Linked DNA regions of Tribolium castaneum. The protein of the gene in region 2 purifies or fractionates together with the protein of the main gene of each other region. This does not show direct contact. Links are inferred from orthologs where the notes say so. Each region holds a gene or a part of one and is shown on either strand. Other genes may lie near its edges.

The links. Proteins that work in one complex are often made in the same cells at the same time.
Region 1: the proteins of ND-MLRQ (region 2) and ND-30 fractionate together in Homo sapiens (co-fractionation; 3 studies listed by BioGRID and IntAct, with this or other methods). This does not show direct contact. The link is inferred for Tribolium castaneum from reciprocal best matches to the Homo sapiens genes COXFA4 and NDUFS3.

Annotation. Positions count from the first base shown.
Region 1 is NC_087394.1:27,328,437-27,332,551, forward strand, and holds ND-30 (NADH dehydrogenase [ubiquinone] iron-sulfur protein 3, mitochondrial), read left to right. Parts: upstream 1-1,281; 5' UTR 1,282-1,381; coding exon 1,382-1,442; intron 1,443-1,491; coding exon 1,492-1,551; intron 1,552-1,605; coding exon 1,606-2,099; intron 2,100-3,908; coding exon 3,909-4,067; 3' UTR 4,068-4,107; downstream 4,108-4,115. Other genes in the region: Gip (putative hydroxypyruvate isomerase), read left to right, coding at 228-702, 753-1,060.
Region 2 is NC_087398.1:10,562,814-10,565,259, forward strand, and holds ND-MLRQ (cytochrome c oxidase subunit NDUFA4), read right to left. Parts: upstream 1,177-2,446; 5' UTR 1,058-1,176; coding exon 1,016-1,057; intron 966-1,015; coding exon 822-965; intron 778-821; coding exon 721-777; 3' UTR 655-720; downstream 1-654. UniProt on the Homo sapiens protein: Component of the cytochrome c oxidase, the last enzyme in the mitochondrial electron transport chain which drives oxidative phosphorylation.

The DNA of each region.
Region 1 (4,115 bases), on a different chromosome or scaffold from region 2:
TGGATAATTGGGCGCAAAAATTTGTTATTGTGGTAAAATTATCGTTTGTTGTTGCGGTTTGCGTTATCTCTTTGTGTAAACGCAGCTTTATCATTTTGGGAACACTGTAGTTCCATTCTGACCCAAAACTCGACAAAAAGTACTTTTATAATTGAAAAATAATAATTCGAGGTATTTGTGTAAGTTGTTAGTTATTTCAGCAATGATTTCACTAATTTTTTTTAGTTATGATGAAGTTCTGTGCCAATTTGTCCTTCATGTTCACGGAGCAGCCCTTCTTGGAGCGCTACCGCTTGGCCAAAGAGGCCGGTTTTCGGGCCGTTGAGACCGGCTTTCCTTTTGGTTTCACGGAAAAGCAAGTCGTTGATGCAAAAAACGGCGCTAACATCCAACAAGTCCTCATTAACACGTACACCGGCGATGTAACGAAGGGCGAACTCGGTTTTGCGGCAATTCCCGGCAAAGAACAGGAATTTAAAGACAGCATTCAGAAAACCATCACTTATGCGAAAAGCCTGGGGGCTTCCAAAATCCACATCATGGCCGGGAAAGTCGCCGATGTGACTGACGCCAATCATTCGGTTTACGAAACCAATTTAAAATATGCAACCAAGTTGTTGGAGCAGGAGAATATAATTGGGTTGATTGAGCCAATTAATAAATATTCGGTCCCCAATTATTACCTCAATTGTTACGACAGAGGTTTGGGGACGCTTTTAAGCCAAGTTTAGAGTTTTAAAACGTTTTTTCAGCTTTGAGTGTGGTGAAAAAGATCAACAGTCCGAATTTGAGAATCATGTTGGATGTTTTTCATTTGCAACACATCAGGGGGAATATTACCAATAGTATCAAGGATTTAGGGGGGTATATCGGGCATGTGCAAATCGCACAAGTGCCTAATAGAAACGAGCCTGATACTCCAGGCGAATTAAACTATGTTTATGTGTTGGAAACCTTGAAGTCTTTGGGGTACAATGACTGGGTCGGGTTGGAGTACAAACCACTTGAGGACACCAACAAGGGGCTCAAATGGGTCAAGAGTCTTGGGTACAGTCTGTAATTGGTGTCAATTGGGGAAATAAAGGCTGTTTTTACTTAATAATTTAATTTACAAAATTGACATTGCGTTCAAGATAAGATGGCCGCTTGTTTTTCTAGATTTTACAGCGGTAAAGGATTATTTCTTTCAAACAAATTTGTATTATTTAACTTAACCAAAGACAATATATCGTATAATTGCGAAAGCAAGTTAAAGGCCTTATTTTTTAGTATTTTTTGAAAAAAATTTACAAGGGCAATGCTTCGCCAACATAACGGGCTGAAATGTCACTAGCGGTGTGAGGTTAGGGGTGTTATTAGGTAACAAATAAATAAAAATTTGATGGCTTCCCTTTTGAGACAATTCACAAGGACCTTGCGGTCACCCGTGGCCCGCAATGGGGGTAAAATCTACAAATTTTCTCGTAGCATTTTTTTACTTATTTTTTCCAGTCTGTGCCACCGCTATCAGATTCAAACATTCGGAAGCAGCCCCTGCAGAAGAGACACGCCGTAAGTTACAAATAGTGCAATAAAAGTCTGAATTCAATCGTTGATTTAATTTAGATACGGTCAGAAAGCCGGACCTTTTGGCCCGCTCCCAGCTGAAAGACTTTGGAAAATACTGCGCTGAATGCCTTCCAAAGTACATCCAGAAGGTGCAAATCACTGCTGGCGACGAGCTCGAGCTGTTGATAGTCCCCGAGGGGGTGCTCCCTGTGCTGCAGTTCCTCAAAGACCATCACAATGCCCAGTTTGCCAACATAACGGATATCGCAGGCATGGATGTCCCGAGTCGCGAGTACCGCTTTGAGGTGATTTACAACCTCCTGTCTTTGCGCTTCAACTCCCGGATTAGAGTCAAGACGTACACTGACGAGTTGACGCCGCTTGACTCCGCCTGCGATATCTACAAGGGGGCCAACTGGTACGAGCGCGAGATTTGGGACATGTATGGGGTGTTTTTCGCAAATCACCCCGATTTGAGGCGGATTCTCACCGATTACGGGTTCGAGGGGCATCCGTTCAGGAAGGACTTCCCCTTGAGCGGCTATGTCGAGGTGATTGGTTTATAATTTTTTAAGACTTGGTTTGTCGTTTGCTTTATATTTGCCGCTATCCGAACGAGCTGATATTTTGCATACACACGTAACTTTCGTGACATAATTATGTAACTTAAAATAAGCAAACAAGCCCCTCTCTCAGAGGAATGAGGATATTAACGTCTGAAAGTTTCAAGTTGCAATTTTCCATACGCACTTATACATATTTACCATTTGTTACTAACATTTATAAATAATCTGGGCCCTTAAATTGAAGTATGAAGTCGGAACAACTTATAAGAATCATTCTATACTCCTATGAGAGTACTTCATGGCCATGTGTTCATTAAAAAAAACTTTAGAGTACTTTGACAACTAAAAAGAACAAATTTTCATAAAAATATTTATTTATTATTTATAAAGTCTGTTGGAAATGCCTTCCTTGTTGTTCAACACACATAACACATCGCCTTTGAACACTATTTATCAACTTTAGTTTATAAATTCTGGTGAGCTGGTTTAGTAGGCAACCAACAATACAATGATAAAAATTGTTCTACGACTTTCGCATGCTGCAAGTTTTTTTTTAAATGAACGCCTGATATTTTATTTTTTCAGTAACACTTATTGTTTTTGTCGTTTTTTAACATTTTTTTAAAATTTTAATCGATTTAGGGATTTTTGTGACGGTTGGTAATTTCTTAATTTGGAAAGTAGAAAATTGAAGTAGAATTTTTATTTTATCATCCAAATTCTGCAGAAAAACACGAATATGGATGATAATGAAGGTAATCTTGCATGGACGTGCCCTGAATTACATAAAATTGCCAAAAATACGGTAGCGAATTTGTTCCTGCCAACTTAAATTTTTTTGTAAAATGTTCAAATAATACCGTTGCGTTCGTTAATAAGCCTATTAAAGCATGAGAATGGAGTCAAATTACGAAAAATCTCATAACGTTAACATTCCCCTCTTTTCTTTTTTTAAATAAATTCACCTGTATCTAGTTGCCTGCTGTGGCTATACCTGTCATTATTAAGTCATGTCGGTTTGTGGTGTTCGTAGTGTTGTGATGATTTCTGATTTAAAAAGTGATTCAAATCTTGCGAATTTGTACTAGAGGTAAGAAGTTAAGTTGATAAAATCTGTGCGGACTTATTTCGACAAAAATTGATAAAGAAACCTTGTGTATATTGTACGCCGTATGAGCAACGACGCAACTGCATTTTTGAGGTGAAATATCTCAGAAACATTGGATTTCTGTGTAAAAGAAGAATGTTTGTTACAACTAAACCGTACTGTTAGCAAAATTTTAATCAAGAGATCATCAAGGCGGCTCCAATATTTCATACAAAAATTCATGAAATGGAGGGCTGGCATCGCGTAAATTCATATTCGGAAACTGCGCTGCCTGTATTTTGTGATTTTTAAGTCAAAGCAAGATATTTGTTTAGTATTTTACAAAATGTTACTTTCGTCACTTGTTGAACAATGTAGTACCGGGAGATTCTTGTCGTCAGGTTGGCAACAAATATGAAACAATAATTTGGCAACTTTGACCAACAAATTTAAATGTCAATTTTATACTCAATTATAATGTAAATATTATCTTTTTTTTATAAAAGCAATACACCTTGTTAATAAATTTCTTTAATTAACGCCATACAACTTGATTTTGACATTGACAATTGTTTATATAAAAAAAACGAATATAACTATTGCTCACAGCTTACAGATTTTATACTTCATAACACTAACCGCTTCCAAAGCAAAAATGTTCTCTTTTGATTTACTTTTTAACAATTTTTTTGTTACATATTTTGTAGGTGAGGTACGACGATGAGAAAAAGCGCGTGGTGGTTGAACCGCTCGAGTTGGCTCAGGAGTTCAGGAAGTTTGAGCTGTCGGCCCCCTGGGAGCAGTTCCCCAACTTCAGGAATGCGCCCCCCACTGCCGAGGAGGTTCCAGTAGAGGAGAAGAAGTGATTAGGTAAATGTTAAATAATAAAGTTGTGTTTTATGCAAAGACTTTAT
Region 2 (2,446 bases):
ATCGGAATACAAATGAGTACAATATGCGATAATTACCTTAGTGATGCGCTAGATTCACTTTTCGCCTAAATTCTTTATTTTTTTAATGAAAATTTTACACCAGGTAATACAGAGATATAACTGCTCCCTGTGGTGCACCTCAAGTTCTTCGTGTTTGTGCTCGAGTCAAAAACGATGAAAACTCGGAAATAATCGCCTAGGTGGTTTTCGGTTTTTGGGGTTAATCGGGTGTGCAATTCACTAACATGAAGCAATGTGGCATGTAAACCATTCAGGTGTTCATGTCGGTAATTTTTGAGGTTCTGTGAAGTGAAATGTGGCCAGATTACATTTGGACCACTAATACTAATGCCTTTTTGCTTTAAAAATCTTCTGCACTGACAGAAGTGGTGACAGCACTTAACCTCAGAAGTCTTAGAACTGTCAGAATTGTTTTACTTTATAGTGGCTCCCTCTCAGAAACAAAAAAAGGCCAGGGAACTAAGCAATGCGGCCAGCCGTGTGAAGGGAAAGTCCCTTCTTTAATCAAGGAAGCTGTGACTGTGATCTTCAGTTAAAGCACAATAAAGTACCAGCTTTGATCAAAGTGGCCTGTGGCCCATTGTTGCCACCTTGATTTCAAAGTCGGGCCATTTTGATCAGAAAACAACAAAATATTAACAATAATTTATTTGAAATTAAAATCACATTGATCTAACACGACTATTTCCATTCAATCCTCTAGTATTTGGGCGCGGGCGACTCCAGTTTGGAGTAATCAATGTTGGGGGAGTAGAACTAAAAATTACACATTAGATCAGTTTTACAATTGTTGCAAATACCTTATATTGCTTGTTTCTAAATTCCTCGTTGGAGATATCACCGCTGCGGTTCCACTGGACGTCGGGGTTGCGGAGGGCAAGTCGGGCAGTGTACCCAATAGCCCCCAGGCAGCCCAAGCCGACGCACACATACAGAGGGATCAACTGAGACAAACAACTTGGAAAAGAGGTTATTTATCGCGTAAAATGCTTACAGCTTTGTGCTTTTTGAGGCTCTGAAGTGACATTCCCTGCATGGTTACCTAATTGTTGGAAAACTTGCAACAAATAAACTCTTCACTTCACTGTCAATGGCAAAAGTGTCAAAATATACGCAGTACTTCCCTCAATCGATGAATAATTTTGGTTACACAAGAGCGAAAGTGAGAAAAACAGCAAATCGCGTCACAATACGCCAGAAAAGGATGCCACTAGACTACGCGTCAAAACTATAGAATAGTTCTGGACTTTAGTATTTTTGTGCAATAGACGGACGTTATGTAATAATTTTTTAAAAAGTAGCTTCAGAGCTAGCCTTTGTAGCATAAATAACTGGGCGAATTTAAAGGAACTGGAAGTAAATCCGGGGCACAGGAGCAGTGTTGTAGTTTTGGGTATGAAAGCAGTTGTGCGATCTGTAGCTAGTAGCGAGGGAATTTTAAATACAGTCAAATGCAAATTTTGCTACAACTTAGGAAAAAATGTGCTCAAAATGTTACAAAATGCTTTCAAGTGGTCTGAAAGTTAGCAAAATCAAAATTCTTTCGTTCGGCCTAAATATTTATTTGGGTTGGCAGCATTGGCGGAAGGTTGGTTGCATAAACCCTCGAAACAGCCATGGGAGAAGAAAATATTGATTAAAATTCAGTTGTGTAGGTGAATGTTGTGTGGTAGGTCGTTTTCTCATTTAGTTAACCTAACCTAAAACGTTTTATTTTGCTTTTAAATAAAATATTAATGTTTGCTATTACTTACAAATATGTGATTGTTGTGTGTTTCGGTTAAGTTTTATTGTCATTCGTGTTGTTCTAACCCTTTTGCTGTAAAAACTCCAAATAACAAGAAACTACAAAAATGATATGCAGTAGGACACCCCGAGAGTTCTTTTCTGCTGATGTAAGTATAAACTTTTTTGTCTTATTCTGAATGAAACCACGTGTTTTCCGTGGAGTTTAATTTATTTTATTCGAAAATGTGCGTTATTTTGACGAGAAGTACCGGCGTTTGGTTTTTAATTTAATTCAGTCAGGGGCCCCAATTGAAAATCAGCGAAAAATTAATAAAATCCTGTTTCTTTGAAGATTGTTAAATGTTATTTTTGTAACAATCAATTTGTTACGGTTTAAAGCACATGAAACAACATCAAACAAAACTAATTAATTTCCAGATTTGGAACCAGTCAAGCGATATAAAAATGTCTATTGATTTATTCAAAAGAGGTGGAAGACATTCACCTTTTTGGAATGTGGGAAATAATCGATTTTTCCTTCCAAGCGCGCTGTACTTGCTGTTGAATACGACTTTTATTACATCCTGATAACAAATAAACAACCTTCTTCTCATTAGTATCAATAGCTTCCGTCTATTTTTAGAAAGTTACTTCATAAGAATTATAGGTGCCGTAATATATCATTAAAAATTAGCAA